Linked DNA regions of Cricetulus griseus. The protein of the gene in region 4 purifies or fractionates together with the protein of the main gene of each other region. This does not show direct contact. Links are inferred from orthologs where the notes say so. Each region holds a gene or a part of one and is shown on either strand. Other genes may lie near its edges. The genes, in order: Sap30, Brms1l, Sap30l, Sinhcaf, Sap130, Ing2 and Sin3b.

Region 1 (2,685 bases), on a different chromosome or scaffold from region 4:
GTTCACACCAACAAGGGTTGTGATTAAATGATGATGAAATAGGTAAATGTCTAATGTCTAAGAAAGTCAGAGTTAATGGGTCTATCATGGTGTGCATATAGTGGTTTAGAAACAACTGTCTGTCACCTAGAAAATCCACTTACAGCATTTTTTAATAGGGATTTCTCAGAGTAAGTATTTAGTGAGTTTTTAATCACTTCAGAAATCTGTTTTAGGTTTCTAATTATTCAATGTCTGTTTATTGAACACCTAATTGAGGCATAACAAATAAATAAGCTTACAAGCATTTATCAGAATTTAGTTTTCAAAGCTTCTCTGGGATAGGCCTACAGATGAACCCTGAAGCAGTACTTCCTAACTTTCTAGTTTTACTTTCAGGTTGTCTTTGTTAGTAGTTGTTGTTTTTAAGTAGAAGATGCTTTCTTTACATCGAGAGAGAGCAAAGATTTTATCCAAGCTTTTACTTAAAGTTTATTTTGTATAGGACTTTGGTTCCTTCAGAGTGCTTTGGAAATTAGCTGTGTGTGTGTGTGTGTGTGTGTGTGTGTGTGTGTGTGTGTGTTTTCAAGAAGTAATAGAGCCACAAAATCTGTGCACTTTAAAGTATTTACAGATTTAAATAATTAGACTTTATATGTAAAATAAACTTTTCCACTAAATAGACAGGACAGAAATCTCTCTCTCTCTCTCTGTGTGTGTGTGTGTGTGTGTGTGTGTGTGTGTGTGTGTGTTTACATGAGTTTTCTCATATTCTTGGGTTTGACTTGAGTAGTTAGCCTACATTTCTAATGTGCATATTAAATAAAAGATAAATACAAGTTGCAATTCTTTGTAGAAAGTTCTTTTACATTATTAAAATTCAATATGCTAACTAGCCAAATTTTCTCCTCTATTTTTTGCCTAGACAAAAATATAATTTTTCTTCAAATTTTATTTAAAGATCTAGTCCTTTTACCATGGCACAGTACATAAACATAAAGATGTTCCCTACTATGATGAAATATACTAGACATTAATGAAGTATGGTCGCCCCTGTTTTGTAACAGAGAGGAGCCAAGAACTGATGCAAACGTTGTATGATATAACATCATATAGTTTATAACTCAAATCTCAACTTTAAAGTCTGGTCTTCTAAAAACAGTTGAATTAGTACAGAGTTATTTTCTGTTCTAGAAAAACAGGCCATCTTCTGGAATCGGAGTGCACACATTAGCAGCTCAGTTTCTTATTCGTGTTGGTAGCTCAGTGTGCATGTTTGGTTTGTGCTGTGAAAAGACAGGGAAGCAGTCTTCTTGAGCGTCTTTCTAGCTCCTTTAATTTTCTTAAATCTTACTCAGAAAATTTTGCTGAAACTTAGGGAGAATGAATATCAATTGCACCAAAATTGTATATGATATCATAGTTTGTTACCAAGGGTTTTTGTTGTTTTGTTTACATTAATCTTTTCCTGTGAATGCAGTCGACATGCACGTTGGCTCTTTTGTTTTATGTCATTGATATTTAATGTTTAAGAATATGTACTTTATAAGTTGTTAAGTTTAAAGGGAAAAATACTTATAACCAGTGGACCAAAGCAAGTAAAATACTTAGAATTAGAGCATATGAATTGAGTAGACTAAAGGGTCCTTTGAAATCAGACTGTCCTTTGTTGATAATATTTTGTTTTTTTTAAATGTGCTTTGGGGCCTGTTCATATTTTGTTAAAACAGCTTAATTTTTAAAAGACAATCTCTTGTGGCCATATAACACATGGCCTAAACTGTGCCTTTTTTTTTTTTTTTTTAAACTGTGCCTTTTACCTGGCTCACAGAATCTGCTGCATCTAACATTTAATTTGTTTTTTTCTTTGTAGATAGTTGGTTGCCACTTTAGGTCTATTCCAGTGAATGAAAAAGACACCCTAACATATTTTATCTACTCAGTGAAGAATGACAAGAACAAATCAGATCTCAAGGTCGACAGTGGTGTTCACTAGGAGAGATGGCATTCACACTAGCACATAGATGTCTGGCTGTAAAGAATGTTTACTGTTTTTCATATGTAGAAATGTTCTTGGGTATTTTTTCTACAGAGGATTTTCTTTGGCTTTTTTTGTTTGGTTTTGATTCTAATAATTAGTTGGAAACTCATATGAAATGAGCTTCCTAAATTAAAACTATTTTAAATAAAGGTTATTACTATTATAGCTGCTTCAGTGTATTTATTTTGTGAAACTTAGTTTTTGTTTTAAGCTTTCAGGAATTGGTATTAAGGTTTCAGGTAAAGATCCTTATTTTGTAAATTTTTCTTGAAAATTCCAAGTAATTAAAGGTAAAGGAGAAACAACAGATAAATGTAATTTCCCTAGATCAATTTGATTTGTAAGTAAGTGTGTGGTGGTGGTGGTGGGGTGGGGGGGGGCGTCTGTTGGTTTTGAGACAGGTATCTCTGGCTGTCCTGGAACTCAGAGATCCACCTGCCTCTGCCTCCCAAGTGTTCAGACTAAAGGCAAGCTCTACTTCAGGCTAACAGTGTTTTTTTTTAAAATACTTCACAGTGTATGTTAGCAGGTTTAAAAATTAGACTTCCACTGATTCTTAACTACTTTTAAATTTCCCTTTTGCATTGTTATTATTATTCTTTGAAGGCATATGAAGAAAAACAGGTAGTTTCTGTGCCTCTCTCTTTCCAAAGACACCCTACATT
Region 2 (4,023 bases), on a different chromosome or scaffold from region 4:
ATACCTTTCAATAGTAAATTGCTCTTATCTTTATGAGGGGGGAAATACAGTTTTTCACTACTCCCCTACCCTCCTGTCCCCGGCCAGGGTCTTTGGTAGACAACGCTGGCTTCAGATTCAGTAAGTAGCTGAGGATGATTCTGAACTTGTGCCACCACTCCAAACCTAAAATATATTTTAGTCAGGTGTTGGTGGTGCACGCCTTTAATCCCAGCACTCGGTAGGTGGATCTCTGTGAGTTCAAGGCCAGCCTGGTCTCCAGAGCGAGTGCCAGGATAGGCTCCAAAGCTACACAGAGAAACCCTGTCTCGAAAAATATATTTAAAGATTTGTCTGGAAATGATTTCTTGTTTACAAAATGGATATAATTATGACTTCCACTTCAGGGCTACTGAACTGAAAATTCAACTCCTCTAACGCGTGCAATGAGCTTACCAAGACAACTTGAGGTAAAGCGAGAGGCCACCTATTATGAGTTACAATAATCACAGTACTTACTGCGTCCTACTTGTCTGTGTATCCTGTCTTGGTAAAAATATGAAATCTCTTTCAGTCAAACGTGTATTTTACATTGGAGCCTGAAATCAAATAAACTGATGGCATTTTTCATTAAAAATATGCAAAAATATGCTAAATTGAAATATAAGTTCCTTCCCCTCTGTATTTTTGGCTGTAAAAATTTCAAGATTAAAATTTCTTTGTGAAAATTAAAAAGCACAAGTTTTTTATTTCTTATACTTACATTTCAATTTAACAGTTTGTTCGCGGTAATAAATGTACTACTAAGGTAGAAGAGACGATTCCGCAGCTCTCCAGGCTCGGAAAGGAAAGACCCTTTCAGGCAAAGGACCTTTTCACATTTTGCGTAGCTAGGCAGATCAGATAACCACTTGGCGGGAAAAGGATAAATACTGACTAAATCAGCACAATCTGTTTCTGTTTAGTTTATAAACTGCGTTCCAGTATGTCAGCTTTCCTGCCTTGTGGGACTTGAAGTCCGAAGTTAGAAGCGATTCAGGCAGCTGGACCTTAGAAACCCACAGCCCCTGAAGCTCTAAGGCCTAAGGACTACAACTCCCGACATACATCAGAAGGCCGCTCCGTAATCACGGGAAGCCAATCGTATGTCTACGAGATAATCCCCGCCCCCAGCTCCAGGACAACTTTGGCCAATGGCAGAGCTCGGAGCGCACAGCCTGCGGGTTAGGTTGTGAGGCCCGGGCCGGGGGTGGGGAGGAGCCGAGGGTTTCGGTGCGAGCTCGGCGGCGGGGTGATCCGGGGCGTTCGGCGCGCCCTTCACTGAAGCGGCAGTGGCCGGGCTGGGAGTAGGGAGTGGGAAGCGACGGCGCGGCTGGAAAATGCCGGTCCATTCCCGAGGGGATAAGAAGGAGACGAATCATCATGATGAGATGGAGGTGGACTACGCGGAGAACGAGGGGAGCAGCTCGGAAGACGAGGACACCGAGAGCTCGTCGGTCTCTGAGGATGGGGACAGCTCAGGTGCGCGACCCAGCTGGGCAGGGATGCCGGGTCCCAGCGCCGGGCGCGCGACAGGCCGCGGTGCTCACGCCGGGCGGCGCGTCCTGCTGCGAGCGCGGGGCGGGGAGACGGGGAAGGGGCGGGGACTGGCTCGGCCTCCGGCACCGGGGAGCTGCGGGGCGCCGCCAGCTCGGGCTTTGGGTTGGCGGGGCGGGCGCTGACTTGTGGGGACCCGAGGCGACTACGTTCTCCGGTGGGGCCTGCCCTAGGGTCGCCTGCCAGTGCCATGGGGCTACCGACGGGGGAGTGGAGTGCCCCGCTGGCTGGTCTTGAAGACCGTGGAAAAGTCCCTTTCCCCAACCTACTAAGTGTCAGCAACCCTTGTCAACGCGTGTCGGGGTTGAGGCTAGGTTTGCCTAGTAGGTCCTTGTGGGCTTGGAACTCATTAACATGTACTGTCATCATTGCTGTTGAGGAGACTAACTTGGGAACTCTCTGCTTCATAGTAGGTCCCTAAAGTTTTCAAGACCAAGAAGGGACCAGTCTGAGGGATGATTTCGAATCTTCGTGGGTTTTTTAATCTGGATGATGTGGGCATTGTTGACATTCCCAGAATCTACTAGCGTTCATGATTTTGTAACTTTGGGCTGTTTCTGATTACTTCACTTATATTTTATGTTTTTTTTGATGGGGGAGGTAGATTAACACTACAAATACATTTTGTAAATCTTCAATAATTGTCATTCAGAGGCCAGTGGTATTTGTGATTTTCTGGATCTTTCTCTGTCTGACCATATGATAAGAATGGTCTTTGTCTAACCCTGTTTTTGGCCATGTTTATAAGGGAAGCATTATTAACAGGTTAATGACAGTGTGTTATCACTCCACCCCCCCCCCTCTTTTTTAGGTTTGCCTGTTAGAGTAGAATGTAATGGCAGTAAGTCAGCCATTCAAAAGTAAATATTTATGAGGGAGGCTTTTTGCTCAGTATTGGGCACTACTCACCATGAGATATAAATATATAGTTACATTATCTTGTCTCAGGTAAAGTCTCAGTGTTTTCCTTACTTAACAGAGAGATTGACCATACAAACTCAAGGCAGTTGTGACAACATGCACAAGACCTGAGCAGACTCAATCCAGAAGAAATCCCAGTGTGACTTGGGGTGGGAGTGTTCATGAGGTTCCACCACTAGCCGAGGAGTTATTGGCATTTGATAGCTGCTGGGAGAGAGTCAGTTTTCTTTAGTAGCATGACCCCTGGTAGGTCAGCCACATGTCAGGGCAGGCTCCAACCCAAGAACAGCTGGGCAAAACAAATGGAACTCCATGGTTTCAGAAAAAAGAAAAACTGGAGGGACTTGAAGTTGGGTGGGTAGGTAGATGGGTGGATCTGGAGGAGGTGGTGGAGGGGAAGTGACTATGTTCAAAATACATTGTACAATTCTCAAAGAGTTAATAAAATATCCAAAAATACTGCTGGAAGTTGCCAAATAAACGATTGAATGAAAATAATGCTGTAGGAATTCAGAGACTTCGAGAACTGAGTGGTCGGTCAGCCCGTTTAGTTGAGGAAAGCGGGACTGCCTTGTTTTGAAGCATTTGGGTTGGGATAGTTAAGGTGGAAAGTTCATATAGGAGAAGGAATGTAAGAAAAGGTGCAAAGGCCAGAGTTCAAGGCTTATTGGGGAAGGAGAAAACCAGTTTGGTTGGGAGACCAACAAGCTTGAAAAGGCAAAGACAGCTGTAAGCTCTGAGAGGTTTCAAAGAAGGTAAGAAACAGAATTGAGGAATCCAACTTTAGGAGTGAAGAGGAAAGCTCGATTGCAGGAGAGGTGTGGGTCTCATCAACACTAGTGGAAAGGTAAAATACCAGAGTTGAGGATAAAATGTTTTGAGCACATTGCTGTTGGGGATCCTGTCTGTATATGTAAGAATGTCTGAACTGATGTGGAAATGTAACATTGGAACCCGCCTGGGATGAGAAGAATAATAATTCTGAAGTAAGTCATATGCCTATCTATTGACATAGGTGAGATTTCAAAATTAGCCAATTATTTAACATGAAGTGGGGATTATAAATCACATTTATACTTTAAATACAGTTCTTGGATCTGAAAAATGTTTTTTTTTTTGTTTTTTTTTTTTTTTGTTTTTTGGTGGGATATAGAGGACATGCTATGTAGCCCAGGAGCAAAGCATTTTTATATTCAAGTGTTTTTGTTTGTTTAAGATTTTATTTTTAATTATGTGTGTACGTGTGTGTGTGTGTGTGTGTGTGTGTGTGTGTGTGTGTGTCTGTCTGTCTGTCTGTCTGTCTGTGTGTGTGTGTGTGTGTGTGTGTGTGTAGGACCAGGCATATGAGTGACAGTGCCATGTAGTCCAGAAGAGGACATTGGATCTCCTAGAGCTGGAGTTACAAGTGGTTGTGAGCCACCCAGTGTGGGTGCTGGGTACTCAGTCTGGTCTTCTGCAAGAACAGTTTGTGTTCAGATCCCCTGAGCCACCGCTCCAGCCCATGTTCTCCTTGGATTTTAATGGGAG
Region 3 (4,220 bases), on a different chromosome or scaffold from region 4:
AAGTCGTCTGTGGGTGGCCTAAGGGCCTTTCTCTGTTGCCTCAGCCTACAAAACATCCAGAACAAGCCAGAGAAGGGTTGCCCCAACCCATATTTTCCTCTTTAAGCCCCTCCTTCCTCGGTGTACGGGGGGCTGGGGGCAAAGACTGTTACTTCTCCTGTCAGACCTCCGTTGTCTCTCCACCCTCTTTATTCGCAAATGTACCTCCACACTGGCTTTCTGTCCCTTGTCATGCACTCATGCACTCTACCTCCCGCTGCTGCGCAGGCCTTCCAGCCCAGGCCTTTCCGTTTTACCCAGTGTGTTCTCCTGTCAGGACTTTCTCCCTAAGGTCCCCTTTCACATACCCCTCCCCTATGCGGGTCCCTTAGTTCTCCCATGCACGTCTTCGATACTTCTTCAATCCAGTCTTCGATACTTCAGTCCACCTCGACCGTGATCTCTGCTGAATTCTGACCTTGCTTCCTGCAGACCCCGTTCAGCATCCTGCTCGGTATACCAGACCCTGCGGCCTGCCAGACTCAGCTTAGCATTCCGTCCCGGGGCCGGCACCTTGCTCCGGGATCCACCTCAGCATTCTGCGCAGGAACTAGGAACCTGCTCAGCTTTCCGCCCCTCGACGGGACCCTGTGTCCCTCCTGTCTTGGTACAGCATCTCGTCCCCGCAATGGGCACCCCGCTCAGCATCCCATCCCGGAGTGGAGACGCTGCGTCCCTCCATATTCTGTTCAGCATTCATCCCCGGAGTAGGGACCCCGCGTCTCTTCTGACCCAGCTCATCATCTCGCCCTAGAGCCAGGACCTTGCTCACCATCCTCCACTGGCCCAGGACACCCTGCATTCTTCCAGACCCCGCTCAGCATTCTTCCTCGGAGCGAGGACCCTGCTCACCATCCTAACTGGGACCAGAAGATCTTGCATTCTTCCAGACCCACACCACAGCTAGGACTGAACCTGCGGCCCGTTCCCCTCCCTCGCCCGGGTAACTCTTCCCTCTTGCACTTTCTCTACTTTGAACCCATCCCAGCAGAGTCCAGGAAGTAGCCTGGCACCGGAGACCGGCAGCGGCGGCGCCCAATGGGGAACGCCAGCGGCGACGAAGGCCCCGCCCATACAGAGAATACGGCCAATATGCGCATGGAGGCGGGACTTCCGCTGTGCCGCGGCGGGCGGGGGAGCGCACTGTTGTGGTGCGGCGCGTCGGGCGGGCGGCGGCCGGGGCGGCCCAGGGGCTGCCGCGGGGACTCGGGGCGCCGCCGAGCGGCAGGGCGCTGGGGCGGGCCGTGAGCACCGCGGGGCCCGGACACGGCAGGTTCGAGGCCGGGCCCCGCGCGAGGAGCCGCGGGGTGGAGACTTTGCAGAGCAGGCGGGAGCCGGCGGGCCTCGGGAGCCCCAGGGCGGCCGGGCCCGGATCCCGGGGGAGGCTCGCGAGCCCGGGCCGGAGCCTCAGCGTGTGCATTCCCGGCGGGGCCCGGGCTGCAGGAGCACAGAGCAGCCGGGCCTCGCGGAGCTCAGAGCGCGTCTGACCCGGGGCGCACCGTGGGACTCGGGCGCGGGGCTGACGGAGAGCTGCCCCGCGGGGCTCACAGCGGCGGAGTGGCCTACAGGGGCCCTCCCCCGGAGGGGCCGGGCCGGGGCGGGGAGATGAACGGCTTCAGCACCGAAGAGGACAGCCGCGAAGGGCCCCCTGCCACCCCCGCCGCCGCCCCGGGCTACGGCCAGAGCTGCTGCCTCATCGCGGACGGCGAGCGCTGCGTCCGGCCCGCGGGCAACGCCTCCTTCAGCAAAAGGGTGCAGAAGAGCATCTCGCAGAAGAAACTCAAGCTGGACATCGACAAGAGCGTGAGTCTCGGGGATCAGCGCAGGGCCGCGGGCAGGGACCCCGGGGACGCTCGGTGCGCTGGGCCTCGCCGCGCGGTCTGTGCAGAACAGGAGACTCAGGATCGTGGAGGCCGCTCTGTGCTCCGCGACGCTGCCCGCATCCCAGAGGGTGGGCTGGGGGGCCGAGGAGGGCTCTGCACACTCTCCCTGCCTGGGAAAGTGACAGCAGTTTCCAGCTGTCACTGTTGCGCCGGATAGTAGAACAGAGAGAGGTGGGCTACTTTTGCAAGAATTTGGGGATAAGAGTTGACGAGGGGACCCGGAGGTTCTTCTCCAACTTCGTCCTCCCTTCAGGGACGTTGTCGTTCTTTCAGACACTAGCAAGGTGGCCGCGACTTTCCTGTCTCCCGCGGCCTCTGTGTCTGCAGCGCAGCACAGCCCGCTTCGCTGGCAGCGAATGAATTTTTCTGAGATGTAGCAGAAATAAGGCCAAGGCCAGGTCTTAGATGACTCTTGCAGTGGATGTGATTGGAGGGAGGCGGGGAATCAGTTTTCTTGATGGGTAACATATTTGGTAATGCAGACGGAGGCGGACATTTAAAATTGAATGGGATTGCCCTGCGCCTTGTGGCTAATTATAGGAAACTTCCTGAGTGATTTCACCTGCTCTTGTTAACGGTTATGTGCTTACTGCCAACCAGTTACGAACTTTTTAGTCTGACATCTGTTGCTGCAAGCCTTGAGTGGCAGCTTCCAGATTAAGAATTGGGACTGGGTTAAGGAACTTTTAATATTCAGGGAACTTGAATGATTAATGACCCACGTTTAGGACAGTAGTTCTCAACCTACCTAATGGTGTGACATTTTAATACAGTTTCTCATGTTGTGGTGACCCTCAACCATTAGATTACTTCTTTGCTACTCCATAACTGTAATTTTGCTACTATTATAAATCGTAATGTAAATATATGATATATGACCGGGGGGGGGGAATCGCGACCCACAGGTTGAGAACCACTGGGTTAGGGCACTCAGATATTGCCTGTTACCTGAAAAGGGAGCCTGTTTTATGCTAATGATGTGGCAGAAACTGAGGCTGGGGTAGGAAGCGATGATGCAAATGCACACTGCACTTAGGCGCTGGCTAATTTCCTAGACCAATTATCTGGCTTGCTTCCAAGCCCTACACCCAAGTTCCATTTGCCTTTAATAAATAAGGTCAACATCTTTTCTTCTAGACTCTTCTCTTGCACACTCAGTTTTATTTAGTCAGCCAGTATAGTCTGGTTCTTTTTGAACAGTGCTTTTTTTTTTATGATTGGGACTTTTTTTTTTACAAATATCTATTGATAAATTAATGAGGAATGAATGAATTATTCTGAAGCAAAAACCGGCTAGACAGTAAGGTGTCCCCTGATAATCACATGTGGGAGTGAAAAGGGAATTCTAGAATGGTAAAGAATTTATTCACTTGGAAACAGTGCCTGACTTTTCTGTGGACTGCTGGCAGTATTTCGATAAGTAGTCTCACATCTGGATGGTTTTGTTGTGGCAGTAGGGACTCCATTTACCCACTCAGCCCATGGGAAACCCCTGTGGAGCAGTGTTGAGCATCACACAGATCATCTGGTCTCCCAAAGGCTGCGCTTGGTAAGGTGTGTGGTTGGAAACAGTTCCAGTCCATTTCAAGGTGCTGGTGGGAAGAGTTTTTGTTTCATCCCACAGACTTGGGCAGGAATCCAATCCCAAGTTACTACTGTGTTACAATCAGTTTTAGCTGTTGTAGCAAGTGAAAAGAGAGGGAAAGAAAGACAACCACACACTGAGCCTTTGCCCCACCCCCATGCCCCCACCCCACCCACAGAGGCCTCTGAGCCCTGAAGTTGCTGAACATGGTTAAGGACAGAGAAAGGCTGTCTCCTAAAAGGATCTAGTGGGCACCCTTTTAAAATAAGATACCACAACCCTTCAGGTCGGACACTGGCAGCCTCTGTAATGTGTAACCAACTTGCAGTGGGCATGTTTCTCCTTTGCTTTTGCAGAGTGGCTGAAGTTGGGAATAGTATGAAGGAAATGTAGCAGGAGAAAGGGGACATTTACCAAAGCTTGGTGGGAGGACCTTGGGTCTGACATCTTCCATCTAAGATTTAGAAACACCTCATTCTGCTGCTCTCTGTTTAGCACTACACATGAGAGAAGCAGCTTGCTCTCTCAAGAGGCACATGCCAATATTACCAACCCAAGTGCCAGCTGCCAGGGGTGGGACAGGGATACATGTTCTGTAGTCTTGTATCACCTGAGTGTTACTCTTTAGGACAGTGGCACATACTTACATCTGAAAGTTTGTTGCCAAAGTGGAATCTGGCAAAGCCATCCCAGTTTGTAGCCGTGTAAGAGGT
Region 4 (4,089 bases):
GTTGGCTATTGAATTAAAGAAGCACTTCGAAAGTATTTCTTTGAATCTGTAATGTTGGTTGGCCCTACAGCAAAAGCAGTAAAAGCAGCAATGATGACGTTTCGCAGTGATTTTTCACTTTGCAACAAGGGACCAAACATCAAGTTCTTGAAAACAAACAAACAAACAAACAAAAAAACCAAAACCATCCTTTTCTCCTTCCTCTCCCCATCATGCTCCAAGAATCATTCAACCATTTGTTATGGGTTGCTGGGCTAAAGGAGTCATATCCGGATCGTTCTTTCATTTCCTACTTTTCCATTTGAAAAAGATACTTCAGGATCATTCTCCCCCCCCCCTTCATTCTTTGGAACCTCCCTTTTGTTTCCTCTAGATTACGTCCTTCTAGAATTGTCTCTCTCTTTTTATTTTCTTTAGAAACATTTAGGTGTTAGGTTACCATGTATTCCGCAAGGAACACTGTATTTTTGCTTCCACTTTCTGTCTTCCCCAAGTGGCTTTTCTTGGGCGAGGTGCTCTCCGTGTCTTTTCAGAAAGTGGCACCATCCCCGCAGTACTTACCACCATGCAGTTCGCAGAGACTGGAATACTTAGGTCCAAGCGAGCAAGAAAAACAACCCAGCTGCGGGTTGGATCACGTCTGGGAAGGGCAATGGACAGTGCCAAGATGGGACTTTATTAAACGACTCATTAAAACTACAAGAAGGAAACCTTTGCTGGAGAGCTGACGTTTTTATTTTGTGTGTGTGCATGTGGAAGTGAATTTGCAGAAGTCGGTTCTCGACTTCAGATGTTTTTCGAAGTACTCCGCCAGGCCATTAAAAGATTTAAAAGACAAAATGGAAAGCTCACCTTCAAACAGATTTTAGGCATGGTGAGGAGGACAAGTACAAATTAAGTGCGTGCTTCCAAAAAGCCTTTTCTGTCACCTCAAGCTAGAAACTGTGCAGAGGTGCGCAGGATGATGCAAAAACACCTTCCAGAACTTTCTGCGCCCAATAGAGTCCTAAAGGGGTGCCGCTGGCGGAGGAGAACCGCTCACCTTTACGCCTTCCGCGCCCTGCCACGCCCCCGCGTCGCCTCCCTCCCCGGGGCGTTTGTTTACGTGACTTTGCGTAGTAGACAGGCCCCGCCCCCCGTCCCCGCGGGCCGCCGCGTTTCCCGCGCCGCTTCTCCCCTTAAAAGGACAATAGAGGCCGCGGGGGCGCGCGCGGACGCCCGGCCCCCTCTCCCCGCCCAGCCCGCCACGCGCACGCGCCCGTATGCAAATCAGTTCGATTCAAGAGAATTTGGTCCCGGGAGCCGCGCGTGCGCAGAGGGGAAAGCGGAATCTACACCTCCGTCCGCGGTAGCAACTGAAGAAACTGCAGGAGACAATCTTTCTGGACTCGGCGCAAGGGCGGAGGGAGTGCTTGCAGGGGTTTGGCCTGGTGCAGTCCGCACCGTGGGGACACTGCTGCGCGTGGAAGGTGAGTGATTCTAGTCGGGACCCTGGTGCAAAACTGTCTCCGGGGCTCCGCTTTCTGCGGCGCTTTTTTCCCTTCTTTCCTCCCTTTACCTCCCCCGCCTCCTCCGTCCTTCCCATACACAAACACACAGGAAGTTTTGTCTTGGAGATGGCATTGCGGGGAGCGCCGTCCTCGTGCTCCGCGGGACTCCAGATCCCTTTGTACGGAGGTGTTGGATGTGCGCTTCTTAATTGGGGAGGGTTATTTGAGGTAAACCGAAAGTCAGGGCGCGGGGGAAAGTGAGTGCAGCGTGGAAACGGAACGGGCAGCGGCGGAGTTGCATCCACGCCGAAGGTGACAATGACTTTTTCTCAGTCGTAGTGTCGTCCGTGTCCCCCTCCCGCCACCGACCCCAGAGAGCTGAGTCGGGGTCGCGGAGCCCCCTGTGGGCTCCGGCCGTGGTCTCGCGCGCCGCGACCCCCCGCGCGCGTGTTGCACTCCGGAGGCGCCCGCGACGGTTTGCACGCGGGTGCACAACAAAGCCGGAGATCGCAAACTTAACTTGCCACACCGCCTGGAGCCGGCGGCCGACATGGGCTCACGACCGCCGGTGAGGGCCGGCTCCGGGGATTGCGCGACGCACGCGGCGTGGCGTTGTTGGCCAAGTCCGCAGGGACGCGTCCGCGACAATGAGCGCGCAGCACGCGGTCGCCTCTGCACTCGGCCGGCGCCGAGCGGTCTCTGCAGCCCCGAAGTTCGCCGCCTGTCCGGTCACCTGTAGCGTGGGCGCGGGCGTCACGCGAGGGGTGGCCGTGGCCCGCGGAGCCCAGTGGGCTCGGATGTTGGCGGCGACGCAGTCCTCTGCAGGAGGGACCCAACTCTTTTTTTTTATTTTGATCTTTGTGTGTGCTCCACCTGACAAGCCACGTGCTCAGGGCCGCGACCCGTCTGCGTCCGAGTGTCCGGCTCGGTGTGAGCCGCGGGCTGCGGTCGCCGTCGGGGCTGTCGGGGAGCAGGACAATGTGATTTCCTGGTGATGGCGTCTTGCCAGTTTGCAAAGCAACAGCCAAAGTCGCCAACTCGCAGCCTGCGCGCGGCGGGGACCCCCGGGCGTTTCTGGTCGCGGACTCGGCAAAAGTTCGGCCCCCGGGGGCGCCGGCGGCCGAGGACACCCGAGCCCTCCCGGGGCCCCGCGCGCGGGTCCCTGTCGCCCCGACGCCGCCGGACAACAAAGGGCCGCGTGTGCCCGAGCGGCGCGGGCCGGGCGGGGCGCCGGGCGGCTTTTGTCCCTCAGGTCCTCTCGGAAACTTGGGCAGCGGCGCGGCGGGGCTGTGTCCGTGGGGGCGCCTCGGCCCGCGGGGTCACCCATGCGGCGCGACGGAACGTCCGGCACTCGGCGGGGCGCACGCGTGGCCCGAGCTCCGAGGCACGGAGGCCGCGTCTGGGAGGTCCGTGCATCCGCCTTTGAAGTGGAACTGTTGCCATGTTTGAATTACGTCAGGCCGAGCGTGCGGAGCGGCCCGGGAGCGGAGGCGCGGCCTCCGGGCGGCGCCGGCGGGGCGCGGGGCCGTTGTTCGGCGCAGGTGAGGGCGGCGGGTGGCGCGTGGGTCCCCGAGCCCGGAGCGCTGCGCTCCTTTGAGGAGTGGCGCTCCGCCGCGCCCCACCCAGGACCTCCGGCCGCACGCGCGGAAGTTTCGGGGCTCCGGGAAGTGGCGGCTGCGGAACCGGGGGGTGCGTGCGGTGCCGCCTTTGTGTGTTTACACGTGGGGCGAGCGGGGAAGCGCAGGGCAGGTTGGACAGGGCGTGCTTTGAAGCACGGGGCAGTGCGTTCTGGTGACGGATCAAGCACCCCAGGTCCGCCTCCCGTGTTTGTTTTATTCTCACCTTTCGTGACTGCAGGTGAAGAGTGACTACGGCGACAGACGCCCACGACACAAACACACACCCACCAGTATTAGGAGTGCGTTCCTAGTAGGCTCTTCGCCCTCTCATGTTTTCTTAAAAAGATCGAGGCAACTTTTGCCTGCTTTTAGTAAGAAGAAGTCGACGTGAAACTTGTCATTAGCAGGGTACTGAAAGCACCTGCTTTTGAACTGAAGTTTGCCAGACTTGAGAATAATTTTTAGTGATCGGTGCTGCAGAACTGAACACGTTTAAATTGCCCACTCTAAATGAAGGTCTGGGATTCGCTTCTGAGTCGGGGCAAAGCTATTAAAAAAAAAAAAACCTGTAAAAATATGCAGAGGATGATTTCGGAGGATTTGTGTGTGTGTGTGTGTGTGTGTGTGTGTGTGTGTGTGTGTGTGTGTGTGTGTGTGTGTTTTGACACAGATAAGTCTTAGGGATGACCTTGAGGACTCTGGAATTGGGGAGTAGGGTCTTTCAGAGATAGTAAAAAGACTCTGGGAGAAGTTGCTGGAGTATGACAATGCTAGGGATTCCTTGCTAGCTTCACAATTACTGGGAACTGGGTTGACCTTCGAGTTACCCCTCTTAGACTTTTTTCAAGCTAAAGTTTTTTTTGGTATGTGGCTCCAGGCATAGCTCAAAAATTATGCTGGTTTGACACATGGATGCTTCTTTGGTATTTGGGGTTTGCCTGCAGTCTAGACATCCAACCAGCAGCACAGTATCTGTTGCT
Region 5 (4,228 bases), on a different chromosome or scaffold from region 4:
GCAACAGCGTGGAATCCTTTACCTTCTCAGTCCCAAAAAGAAATGGCATAACAGTCCAGACCGGACTGCGAAGGAGGAGGAAGCCCGCGTCGGGTCCCCCAGGCCCCGCCCTCCTAGGGCAGGGAACTACATTTCCCAGGGGCTTCTGTGGGTCCGAGAGGCGGGACCGACGGCCTTCCTGCTCTCTCCAGGCGAGGAGTGGCTGTCTGGGAGAGGGGCGGGGTTTGTCGCAGCCAGTGAGCGAAAGTCTCGTTACGGCGGCGGAAGCAGCGGCGCTGGAGTGAGGGGTGGGGGGACAGAGTGCTATCGGTCCGGCGGTGACTGCGGGTCCGGAGCCCGAGGACATTAGCCCCACAGGCGGAGAGCGCACGGGAGCAAGCTAGAGGCGGCGTGGCCGCACCTAGGTAATGGCGGAACGAGAGCCGGGAGGGAGGGGAGGAGTCGAGGGGGCGGGACTGCATGGCTAGTCCCGGTGCTCGTCCCTGGGGAAGGACAGAGCCGCACAGCTTTTGCAGCCCTGATTCCAGCTCTTTAGCGAGCTGGGCAGAGCGGTTGAGTCGGCGGCAGGGCCCGGGTGCTCGGTGCGAGGAAGGGCGAGAAACACCGAGGGGTGGGCAGCCCCGGGCGTGGGGGCGTGGCGGACGCGGGCCTCCGTAGGGAAGTCAGCGGGAGGGAGGGACGGCCTATGGAGTTTGGCTGCTGGAGCAGTTTAAAGTGACTCTCCACATCCGGGCCCTGCGCCCGCCGCTTTCAGACCCCTGCCGGGGCGGGGCCTCCCGGATCCCCGCCCTTCTTGCCAGGGATCGCCTAGCTCTTTGCCTTCTATTCGCCCAGCCGAGGAGTTTAGGCTGCTCCCCGCCCCCAGCGAGACTGGCATCTTATTGGCTGGCGGCCGGCGGGAGGGTGGGGCGGGCCCAGAACGCGCAGGCAGCTGCGAATTGGTACTGAGTCCAGTGATGCGCCCAGTGTCTGACCAATGGGCGGGCGGGGGAGGCAGGGGTAGGTTGGGTGGTAAGAGGACTGGGAGCCGAGCGGCAGCTGTCCGTGGGGGTGAGTGTGGCGGGCGGGCTGAACTGAGGCGGGCCGGGACGCGTTCCGAATCGCGTTCCCTCTGTGCCTGCGGAACCCCTCGAGCCCTTCGTGGCGGCCACAGATAAAAAGGCACACTGCTTTTCTTGCGGAGAGGGCTCCGTAGGACGTTTTCCCGGAGAGACAGATCCTCGACACCCGGAGTGTCTGGAAACGCGTGTCCTACGATCTCGGAGGAGGAATGGGGTTAACTGGGGTAGAGGGGAGATCGGCGAAGCCTGACTCCGAAGGAAAAAGTGGAAGACGATTTTAGAGATTGTGGAAAAGGTCTCGAGTCCTACCCGTGTCTCGGGCTGGGAGGGGGGGTTGTCGATGATGAGGAAGAAAGAAAATCCTTAAATGGAGGCCTTTACGGAAAAGCGTTTGAGGATTCCGCAAGCATCGGGTCTTAATGTAAGATTTCCAATCCTTTCTTGGGGCTGGGCATTATGACATACTAATTACGGTTCTGTTTATCTTGATGTGAGGCCTGAGTCTTTAAAAGAGCCATGCTATTTCCCATAAAATTTTACATAGATAGCCTATGGTTATGGTGGTAGCTTGCATTTGGCGGCTATATAACATTCAGTGTCTACTTTTTTTTTTTAAATATAGAGATCCATAAGTATTTTTGGAAGGCTATAGTATCCTACAACACTTGTATAAAGGTTGTCATAATTAATTTAGCCTTCTTAGTACATAAAAAAGTCCTCAATTAGGTGTTTGCACCATTGATGGTAACTCATTGTTTTAGATAGAAGAAGCTGTATTTGTGTTTCTGAGAGATGTTGTGATTACTAAAGATGCTTTGATCTCTCAATGTTGGTTCTAATTTCAGAACCTGGTAATAATGGACCGACTTGTTTTGTAGGTGGAAATGAGTTCTCAGCAGTTTCCTCGGTTAGGGACCCCTTCCCCTGGACTCAGCCAGGCACCCTCACAGGTCGCAAACAGTGGTTCCACGGGCTTGATAAACCAAGTTGCCACAGGTGAGATGTGCTACATTTCCTTCATATTGCTTACTGTTTTAATAATGTTACTAATTTCAAATTAGCAAATTCCCTCTCATGATTACTAGCCTACCGACTTTGAGGAAAAGAGGTGATAAAACACTGTTTTAAAATAGGCCTGCTTTTTAAAATCATTTTCATATTCTAGGGTAAGTGAGCAACTTTAGTAAACCATGCTTATAAGAAACATTTTTTTAAATGTATTAGTGTGTTACCATTTAATTAACTCTCAGGGTACAGGCATGGTGATAGTGCCATGAGAGAACCCAACAGTGAGTGGGACAGAAATTTTACATTTTAGGAAGAGAAGTAAATAGAATGTGTCTCTGTCTTCATGCATGTGTTTGAAGGCCAGATGTCAACCTTATATGTGCTTCCCCAGCAACTGTCCACCTTGGTTTTTGATATAGGGTCCCTCACTGAGTCTGGGATTCTGAGTAAGCTAGGCTGACAAGTACTTTATTACTGACTGAGCTATTTCCCCAGCCCTGGAAAAGATGGTTGAAGAGTATATATGCACATGTTTGCAACTTGGTTTTTATTTGTAATAGGTCCTTTGAGTGCTATAGATTGGTTGATTCTCATTGTTGAATGATATTGCCTATAACAATATTTGGCTGTGCCTGGAGACATTTGTGTTGTCACAACTAAGAAGTCCTAAACATCCTAAAATGCACCAAACTACTTTAGCCCTCAAATAATTATCAAAGCCAGTGAGCAATCTTCAAATGTTTTCACTCTGTATTAAATACATATTGTAAGCTGAAATGCAATCCTCTTCCTGGTCTGCTTCATCACCATTCAGTTCATGTATGCTTTGTGGCAAATCCTGCTGTTGTTTATTCATCGCTCAAGCCAAAGGCTGAGGCATCTTAGTTGTAATTGATTGTCTCTACTCTTTCCTCTTCCTCCCCTAATCATAGCATTGATTCATAATGTAGCCCAGGCTGGCCTCAAACTCTTGATCCTCCTCAAGAGAGTTTGTCCCACCATGCCTGGCTGATTTTATCTACCAGTGAGCTATGGCCCTACTATTTTGGGCTCATTTCTATTGCTTTGATGACTTCTTGCTAACTTAATTTTAATTACTCATTTTCTGCATGCAGTGTTACCAGGTTTCATGGCCCAGGGCTTGATCCCATTTCCCTGATGGCACAGTTTTTCTTCTTTTCCAGGTTCAGTTATTTGGCTAATTGTTCTTCCTTGAGGATTCATCTAAAGTGCCATTTTCTGGATGTCTTTGCTGACTTTATTTTTTTTACTGCATTTCAGACACATTCCTGTGTGTTTCATGTGCATACTTGCTATAAAGAATAGCACAAGTTGTGGTCAACAACTTCTTGTAGAGCCATCTAAAGTTTTTTATTTCTTGTTAGGTATAGTGATGCACATCTGTAGTCCAAGCACTTGAGTAGTTGAAGAAAGCTAATCAGTTTAAAACAATGTAGCTGAAGTTTGGCTACAAAGCAAGTCCAAGACTAAGCTATGTAAGACAACTCCCTACCCCCACCCTCACCCCCCCAAAAAATGTGCTAACAATATTTTGCCTTTGGCATAAGTTCAGAACAGTGATTTAAAGGGCTGGAGCTCAGAACATTGTTTTTTGAAGGGGAAGAAATGAGAGTTATGCTTATGGAAAAAAGAAAGGTGAGATTGTCTTTGGAGCTTTGCAGTTTGCTGCTTCGTGCTAATCAATCCTAAGACTTCCTTCCTAGACTGTTTTTATAGTTCACCCTCATGCTCCTGTACTCTCCACACACTTCAAGACCCAGCTCAAAACTTAATAGCTTTTTGAAATTTTTCATGAACAGTCAACCTGTATGTGACTTCCTCTTTTCATTTTCCAAATCAGTACTTTTTATCTGTTTTTCCTTTTATCTTCTTAAGTAAACCTAATTTATTTTCCAAATAAATGTTAAGTCTGGGATTAACCAGTCCAACATGATAGGATAGCTTCATGATCATCATCCAGGTTCCTTTTTCCAGTAGCTATCAATGCAGCTTTCTGCACAGACTGCTTGCCCAGCAGACTGAAGCTCTGGGTTCCATCCCTAGCACCACATAAATGGGATATGGTGGTGCATGCTTATAATTCTAACTCTTAGAAGGCAGAGGAAAGAGGATCAGGAGTTCAAGACCAACCCTGGCTA
Region 6 (3,963 bases), on a different chromosome or scaffold from region 4:
CATGTGCTTGTGCACGCGCGCGCGGGCTTCTCAGTGTACCGCCGAGCCAAGTCCTCGCTGGCGTTTGATGCTTAATTGATTCGTGGTTCGACCCCAGAGAACACTCTCTTTAAGGTGGTTTCGGGGGACAGTCCTGCAAGCTTCTCCCTAAACCGAAACGGAAGGCGCTCGAGGAGGGGGAGCAGACCCTGCCAGGCACCCTGGCGCTGGGGAAGGGGGCCGCACGCGAGGCGGGGACTCGGCGTTTAAAAAGCCCAGGGAGGGCACAGGGCGGTGCGCCTACCTCCGCGGTCAGCCCCGGTGCTCCGTGAGGCCGGCAGCGGCGGGAGGTGAGCCGCCACGGCCGCGGGGCGCTCGGCGGGAAGCCGCCGCGCATGCCCGGAGCCGCGCCCGCTGCACCCTGGGTCGCCTTAGTTCCCGCAGGCCTCACTCGGCCAGCGGCGCCCAGGGGCCGCTCGCTGTCTTGGAGGGCTCGCGAGGGAGGCGCTGGATCCGCCAGATGGAGGCCAGGTCGGTACCACGGGGTCGAGCGAGCCGGGCCGGCTCTCCCTTATCCCCGTGGGGTCCAGAAAGGCGAACCCGATGGCCTGGCCTCCCGGGGGCAACCGTCAGACTCCGGGCGAAGGGCTAGGCTCAGCCATGCGGCCCCTTTAAGAGGGGGCGGGGCGCAGCCTGCCGTTTGGCCACCCTCCGCACCCTCCCCCCCACCCCAGGCAAGAGTTGACAGACCAATCGCCCGGGTGGCGCAGGGAAGGCGGGAGAATGCGAACCCTTCGGTAGGGCGATAGGGGCGGGGCCCCAGCCTTATTAGGAGTGAGTGCTGCGCAGGCGCAGATGCGGCCGCTGCCGAAGGGGCGGGGGCAAGTCCACTGAGACTCCGACAGGCACCGAGGCTGATAGCGCGGAGAGAGGGCAGCGAGGGACTTGTCACGGGGATCTGGGCGACCGGGCAGCCCTGGTAGTGTCTGGCGACTCCCGGGGGGACAGCCAGTGTCACCGCTCGGGAGCCCGGCGCCGTCGGCCGCGGGGAACCCCGCTGCTCTCTCCCAGCGAGGGAGGGGGCCGGAGGGAGCCCCGGTCTCGCCCCGCCCCTGGGCTTGTTACCGCGGGGGCGGGGAGTGAGGGTTTCTTCTGGGGGGAGTGGAGATCGGGGGACTCGGCGGTGCCCTCTCGAGCGGCGGCCGTGTCCCCGCGGCGCCGGGCTGCCGAGCGGAGGCGCGGCGGCCGTGGCTGTTGCATGTGTGGCTGCTGGATGCGGAGGCGGCGCGGCGGCGGCGGCGAGGAGCAGCAGCGGCGGCAGGATGTTAGGGCAGCAGCAGCAGCTGTACTCGTCGGCCGCGCTCCTGACCGGAGAGCGGAGCCGGCTGCTCACCTGCTACGTGCAGGACTACCTGGAGTGTGTGGAGTCGCTGCCCCACGACATGCAGAGGAACGTGTCGGTGCTGCGGGAGCTGGACAACAAATACCAAGGTACTTTCTCTCTCTCCGGTGACAGTGCCCGTGAAGTGCGGCGAGCGATCTGGTTGGTGTGTGGGACCCGGAGACGGTGGGGGAGCACTGCAGACCGGCCTGGCGGCCCTCCCCTGTCCCGGCTGCGGCTGACTAGGACTTCCGAGGGCCGCCCGTCAGCCCCCGCTGCAGCCCAGGCGGCTGGCTGCAGCTGCCGCCGCCGCGGACGGGAATCAGCCATTTTAAGCGAGCATTTGTTCCGGTGCCCGCCGGCTGGCTGCCGCACGCTGTCCTGCCCCGGGCTGGCGAATGTGCAGTAGGGCGCGGGCTGGGCTGGGTGCTGGGCCTTCTGGCCCCTGCCCGCTGGGCCCCCTCCCTCCCTCTGCGAGCAGATGCATTGGAACGTGCGGGGGGAGGGGGCGAGAGGACGGAGAAGCTGGACTTGGGAGACGGCCTCCCCCCTCCGGCTCCCGGCGTGGCGCGGGACAGGGACAGTCTGTGCTTCCCTCTCGCCCCGGGGAAAGTTCCGGGCCGCCCGGTGCCTCAGCCCTTCCTCAGCTCCTGCCAAATGGTTAAAGGGGGAGGGGTCCCCCGCAGGGCCGGGCTGAGAGGGTGTGCGTGTGTCTGTATGTGTGTACGTATATGTGTGTGTGTCTGTGTGTGTGTGGGTCTGTGTGTGTGGCGGGGAGGGCCCCGGTCCCGGTCTAGGGGCGGGGCCTGCAGGTGTGACGTCGTATGGGCGGGGCGCGCGCTCCCGCGGGCCTCGGCCACGGCGGGCTGCTCGGAGGGGCCTGGGTGGACTGAACTGACTGCCCGCGGGGGACCCGCTGGGCGGGGCCCTAGACGGTCCTGGGCGGAGTCGGTGTTGGGGTGGTGATATTTCAAATCTCTCCTACCCAGTGAATCAAGGCGCGGGCACTGCTGTGGGACTGTCGCTGACCCTGGCTCAGCGTAGGTTCCGGGCTGTGTGTCACTTCCGGACCTCTGGAGGAAGTGGGTTCGTTGGCTGGGCAACCACCTGGCGTCCCTGCACCCTTGGGTTCCTCCTCCACCAAGTTTAAACGAGTTGAAAAGCTTTCCCCCCCCCCCCCCTGTTGTTTGTCATCAAAGAAACTAGAGCAGAGAATCATCTTTAGGGACTGTCGTACCTTTCTGCTGCTAGGACAGGAGAAATTTAAATGGGGAGGGATAGGTTCTTCCTTTAGTAATCCCGAGTCAAGAAACAGCGTGGATCTAATGTGGACTGTGAAAGCAACTTGTAGCCATTCTTTCCAGACATGTCACCAAGCCTGTAACTAATCCTGTAGTTCACTTCATGGTGACATTGTTTTAACATGTTGGAACACTTAGGTGTCTCAACCTACAATTTTGTTTTTTGAGTCTCTGGTAAGACTAATTCTGTTGGGAGAAAAATGTATTGTTTCTACAGTATTCCAGTATCTTCACCAGTTTCAACATATGAGGTAAAAAAAAAATCACTTTTATAGATAAAATTTACAGCGCTAAAGTATCATATTGAGTTAATTGTGTGGAGAGTATTTCAAAGCTGTCTACTTCAAGAACACAACTGTTTTCAGATTGTGTGACTCCTCTCATTTAAGGGATTGAATTCAGAGCTCACACAATAGGTAGAGGGTTTACCACTATCCTAGTGTCCACCCTTCCTCCCACCCTTTAAGAAAATGAGCATCATCCTGGTTTTTGTTTTTGTTTTTTTCTTCTGCAGACATGGGGGCATACATGAATGGCAGTCTAGCAATGGGACACATGCTTTAAGAATTCTGTGCCAAAATTTGTAGTTTTCCTTATATTAACACTGTATTCTGTAAAGGCACAAAAAAATGAGGCTAATTAGCTTGATAATGACATTTTTTGACAGGGAAGTCTTTGACCCCAGTAATCTATAATTGTCATAAATTGCTCCGATGACATGAGTAGGAGACCTTACAATACTGAAATGTCCATATAAGCCGTTGGCTCCATTATGATTGTGGCTGATTCCAAGATTAATATAAACATAGTGGCCTAGCTTCTGCTCTATGCACATAATTGCCAAGCTCAACTTCAGTTTTATTTTGTTAGAAGCTTTATATATTTTCATGTTCACCTGGTTCAGATTTTATTTTCACTGATTCTTAAGTATTTGCTAATATGGGAGTCAGTGCTAATATAACGGAGCTTAGGGAGGGAGGCAATGAAATTGCTTCCTCACCTATGTGAGTGAGTCTTTCAGGAATTACTGAACAGTCCATTAAGTAGAGAAATAAAGAAAAACAATTGAATTAAATATTCATTGCAGGATATGGTTACTAGAAAACTTTTATGGTCTCTGTAGCATTTTATTCATAATTTCCTAGGAAAATAGCAACCTTTGAGCTAAAATGTATTATGTAATTCTAAGTGCCTTTCATACGGTATGTGAAAAGTTCTCTAAGATCAGATGTAGTTTTGGCAGTTTCATATAAATGTGATAGCATTCTCATGGGTTTGCTCTGTATAGTTTTTTTTTGATTG
Region 7 (3,500 bases), on a different chromosome or scaffold from region 4:
CTGTAGAAATGGGCAAAAGGGCTGTTTGTCTCCACACATCTGAGAGGAAGTTTTAGATGAGGGCAGTGCTTTCAAAGGGCACATGTGTCTCTTGAGGACATTTCTTACACCCCAACAGTTAGCTCATGTGGTCTACTCTGGTCTAGTCTGCTCTGGTCTGGCTTGGTTTGGTCTGGTCTGCCTACAAAAAAAAAAAAAAAAAAAAAATTGTTATTTGTACCATGTGATCTAGTCTTCATTCCCTGTCCCCAGTCACAGACTTGTTTCCAGGGGTATGGGACTGTGGCTTCGGGGGTGGTAGGATACAGGAGGTGGCAGCCGTGGCCTTGCTCTCTCTGCCAGCTTCACCACCTGGTGAGCGACGACGTGTGTCTGAAGGTGGTGGAGCTGTACCTGAACGAGCAGCAGCGAGGTGCAGCTGGCGGGAACCTGTCCTCCCGCTGTGTCCGTGCTGCACGGGAGACCAGCTACCAGTGGAAGGCGGAGCGTTGCATGGCCGATGAGAACTGCTTCAAGGTGAGAGGTTGTGGGGTGACCTGGGACTAAAGGCCAAGGCTTCTGGAAGAGGACTGGACACTGAGCAGGGGTCAGGGGCACAGTCACCACTCCTGTGAACCAGGAGTAGCCGTAGCACCTGCTGGGTCCCTCTTACAGGGCAGTGCCAGGGCCTCGGAGGGTGGTAGGGATGGCTGATGACTGCTCAGGCTGTGACCACCTCCCCAGGTAATGTTCCTGCAGCGCAGAGGACAGGTGATCATGACCATAGAGCTCTTGGACACTGAGGAGGCGCAGGCGGAGGACCCCGTGGAGGTGCAGGTGAGTCTGCTCCTGTTGTCTGTCCTCAGCTGTGTGCAGCCGCATTCCTGGTCTCCCACTTTGCTGACAGTTAAAAATACATCCATGTAAGCACCAAAGCAGTCACTGAGGACCCTTCCTTTGTCTTCCTGGTACCTTCCAGGGTCCCTGTGTGCCTGTCACTTAGTGTGCACACTCACTTCCTGTGGCCCCCCACAAGTGACCACAGAGTAGGACATTGCAAGAGCAGAGCCATACCCTCTCATCCTGGATGCCTGGGGTCCAAAATCCATGGGTGCTCAGGTCCTAACCCTCAGAGCTGCTAGGAGCCCCTTGTGGCCTCTGCCACTTCCGAGCGTTCTAGCTGCCCTAGCCAGATAGTGGTACACACCTTTAATCCCATCACTGGAGAGGCAGAGGCTGGAGATCTCTGTGAGTTTGAGGCCAGCTGGGTCTACAGAGTGAGCTCTAGGACAGCCAAAGCTATACAGAGAAACCCTGTCTCAAAACAAACAACCTGGGGCTGTAGTTTGGTGGTAGATGCTTGCTCGGCATGGCCAGGCCCCAGATTCTATCCCCAGTGCTGCAAAATAGAATATAAATTGATTTTTGATTGCAAATGAGGTCACACACAGGTCCCAAGACTCTAAAGGACCAGAACCAGACACACACACACACACACACACACACACACACACACACACACACACACACACACTTGCATGCGCACATGGATTCCCCTTGTAGGTGACACTCTGAGGCATTTTCCCCTTCCCAAGTTTGGAGAACACTTTTATTTTTGGTTTTGGTTTTGGTTTTTCGAGACAGGGTTTCTCTGCGCCACCAACGCCTGGCTGGAGAACATGTTTTATGGAGTTTGTTTGGAGACTGTCCTGGTTTGCCTTCTGTTGCTATGATAAGCATCATGCCCAAGAGCATCTTGGGGAAGAGGGGTAACACCAGTCAGTCCATCCAGGCAAGCAGGCACGAGCTGAGCATACTGGCTTGCAGCTTAGGCCCACCTGCGGAGTGGTGGCTCTGCTCAAAATGGGCTGGGTCCTATACCAGTTGGGAATTGAAATGCTCCCACAGACATGTCCACGCATTTATCAGATGGAGGCACTTCTTCAATTGGGGATCCCTCTTCCTTGGAGATTCTAGGCAAGGGACTCTACCTCTGATCTATGTCCCCAGCCCCTCACTGGGGCATTCTAGGCAGGGGCTCCCACCCCTGAATCATACACCCAGCCTTTTTATATCTGTATATCCTGATGTTCTGCACTGTCCTCCGTGGCTCAAAGCTTGTACTAAGGTGAGGATGCCATGTGAGTGCCTAGACTTCCCGTGGAGGCTGGCCCCAGACCTAAGGCTGTAGTGTCCTTTCACAGCAGAGCCCTCAGCCATGGCTGGTCTCATTATGCTTTGGGGTTGGGGTACAAGCTCACATGAGTGTCTGACTTGGGATCCAGAATAAGAGGTGGGTCACCTTATCCCCCCGGGGGTCATAGGGTATGTCTGTCCCTTGCCCAGCACCTGGCTCGCTATGTGGAGCAGTACGTGGGGACTGAGGGTGCGTCCAGCTCGCCTACCGGGGGCTTCCTGCTGAAGCCTGTGTTCCTGCAGAGGTGAGTACAGGGCCACACATGTGCCACCTGCCAGTGCCTGCTGCGCAGTGACATAAGACATGAGGAGGAGCTGTGGGAGGTAGAGGGGGTAGTCTAGGGCCAACAGGAGGCCACCCCACCCCCAGAGAGCAGAAGGAGCAACCCGGCAATCCTGCTGGGAGAAGCTTATGGAAATGGAGAGTAGGGAATGAAGTGTCATGCATGCTGGGCGGTCACCATCGCCTGGACCTCCAGAGGCCGCAAGTCCCCTCCCCGAGGCCCTGTCCCTGCAGGAACCTGAAGAAATTCCGGCGCTGGCAGTGTGAGCAGGTGCGTGCCCTGCGTGGGGAGGCCAAGAGCTCGTGGAAGCGGCTCATGGGCGTGGAGAGCGCTTGCGATGTGGACTGCCGCTTCCGCCTGGGCACACACAAGATGGTGTTCATCGTCAACTCCGAGGACTACATGTACCGCCGCGGGACGCTGTGCCGTGCCAAGCAGGTGCTGCATCCACACCCACCCACTTGAGCCCTTGAGCCCCACACTCGGAGCCCATGAACCTCACATCCAGCCCTAAGCCCCACCCCGCACCCCGCCCCAGGAGTTCACACGTATGCACCTTCCCTCAGTTGCAGCCCCTGGTGCTGTTGCGCCACCACCGTCACTTCGAGGAGTGGCACAGCCGCTGGCTGGAAGACAATGTGACTGTGGCTGCTGCCGGGCTGGTGCAGGACTGGCTGATGGGGGAAGAGGAGGAGGACATGGTACCCTGCAAGACGCTCTGTGAGACTGCACACGTGCACGGCCTGCCCGTGACACGCTACCGCGTGCAGTACAGCCGTCGCCCTGCCTCGCCGTGAGCATCTGGAAGAGGTCCCAGCACGTGCCCGTGCCCACCCCGACCCCACGTGTCATGCCCAACAGGGCCTTTGTTGCTTTGAGCCCGAGGTCATGCCTTGACCTCAAGCAAGAGCTGTAGCCAGCCCTTGCAGTGCAGACCAGACCACGGGCAACGGCAGGGGCCGTCCCCACGAGGGCAGCCCCTCCGCACAGTTCTAGATGCGTATGCACAGTATTTATTCCTTCCTGCGCTCCTAGTGGTCG

Evidence for each region.
Region 1: the proteins of Sinhcaf (region 4) and Sap30 purify together in Homo sapiens (affinity purification with mass spectrometry; 4 studies listed by BioGRID and IntAct, counting the BioPlex papers as one, with this or other methods). This does not show direct contact. The link is inferred for Cricetulus griseus from reciprocal best matches to the Homo sapiens genes SINHCAF and SAP30.
Region 2: the proteins of Sinhcaf (region 4) and Brms1l purify together in Homo sapiens (affinity purification with mass spectrometry; 3 studies listed by BioGRID and IntAct, counting the BioPlex papers as one, with this or other methods). This does not show direct contact. The link is inferred for Cricetulus griseus from reciprocal best matches to the Homo sapiens genes SINHCAF and BRMS1L.
Region 3: the proteins of Sinhcaf (region 4) and Sap30l purify together in Homo sapiens (affinity purification with mass spectrometry; 3 studies listed by BioGRID and IntAct, counting the BioPlex papers as one, with this or other methods). This does not show direct contact. The link is inferred for Cricetulus griseus from reciprocal best matches to the Homo sapiens genes SINHCAF and SAP30L.
Region 5: the proteins of Sinhcaf (region 4) and Sap130 purify together in Homo sapiens (affinity purification with mass spectrometry; 3 studies listed by BioGRID and IntAct, counting the BioPlex papers as one, with this or other methods). This does not show direct contact. The link is inferred for Cricetulus griseus from reciprocal best matches to the Homo sapiens genes SINHCAF and SAP130.
Region 6: the proteins of Sinhcaf (region 4) and Ing2 purify together in Homo sapiens (affinity purification with mass spectrometry; 3 studies listed by BioGRID and IntAct, counting the BioPlex papers as one, with this or other methods). This does not show direct contact. The link is inferred for Cricetulus griseus from reciprocal best matches to the Homo sapiens genes SINHCAF and ING2.
Region 7: the proteins of Sinhcaf (region 4) and Sin3b purify together in Homo sapiens (affinity purification with mass spectrometry; 3 studies listed by BioGRID and IntAct, counting the BioPlex papers as one, with this or other methods). This does not show direct contact. The link is inferred for Cricetulus griseus from reciprocal best matches to the Homo sapiens genes SINHCAF and SIN3B.

What each region holds. Positions count from the first base shown.
Region 1 is NW_023276806.1:235,754,622-235,757,306, reverse strand, and holds the end of Sap30 (histone deacetylase complex subunit SAP30), read left to right. Parts: intron 1-1,852; coding exon 1,853-1,975; 3' UTR 1,976-2,185; downstream 2,186-2,685. UniProt on the Homo sapiens protein: Involved in the functional recruitment of the Sin3-histone deacetylase complex (HDAC) to a specific subset of N-CoR corepressor complexes. Capable of transcription repression by N-CoR.
Region 2 is NC_048598.1:146,557,675-146,561,697, reverse strand, and holds the start of Brms1l (breast cancer metastasis-suppressor 1-like protein), read left to right. Parts: upstream 1-1,223; 5' UTR 1,224-1,358; coding exon 1,359-1,500; intron 1,501-4,023. UniProt on the Homo sapiens protein: Involved in the histone deacetylase (HDAC1)-dependent transcriptional repression activity. When overexpressed in lung cancer cell line that lacks p53/TP53 expression, inhibits cell growth.
Region 3 is NC_048600.1:71,858,106-71,862,325, forward strand, and holds the start of Sap30l (histone deacetylase complex subunit SAP30L), read left to right. Parts: upstream 1-1,420; 5' UTR 1,421-1,644; coding exon 1,645-1,842; intron 1,843-4,220.
Region 4 is NC_048601.1:780,401-784,489, forward strand, and holds the start of Sinhcaf (SIN3-HDAC complex-associated factor), read left to right. Parts: upstream 1-1,289; 5' UTR 1,290-1,469; intron 1,470-1,666; exon of another isoform or gene 1,667-1,802; intron 1,803-4,089. UniProt on the Homo sapiens protein: Subunit of the Sin3 deacetylase complex (Sin3/HDAC), this subunit is important for the repression of genes encoding components of the TGF-beta signaling pathway.
Region 5 is NC_048595.1:205,706,563-205,710,790, reverse strand, and holds the start of Sap130 (histone deacetylase complex subunit SAP130), read left to right. Parts: upstream 1-1,428; coding exon 1,429-1,482; intron 1,483-1,939; coding exon 1,940-2,057; intron 2,058-4,228. UniProt on the Homo sapiens protein: Acts as a transcriptional repressor. May function in the assembly and/or enzymatic activity of the mSin3A corepressor complex or in mediating interactions between the complex and other regulatory complexes.
Region 6 is NW_023276807.1:39,045,738-39,049,700, forward strand, and holds the start of Ing2 (inhibitor of growth protein 2), read left to right. Parts: upstream 1-1,163; 5' UTR 1,164-1,301; coding exon 1,302-1,470; intron 1,471-3,963. UniProt on the Homo sapiens protein: Seems to be involved in p53/TP53 activation and p53/TP53-dependent apoptotic pathways, probably by enhancing acetylation of p53/TP53. Component of a mSin3A-like corepressor complex, which is probably involved in deacetylation of nucleosomal histones.
Region 7 is NW_023276806.1:247,456,737-247,460,236, forward strand, and holds part of Sin3b (paired amphipathic helix protein Sin3b), read left to right. Parts: intron 1-342; coding exon 343-516; intron 517-723; coding exon 724-816; intron 817-2,325; coding exon 2,326-2,420; intron 2,421-2,692; coding exon 2,693-2,897; intron 2,898-3,025; coding exon 3,026-3,256; 3' UTR 3,257-3,500.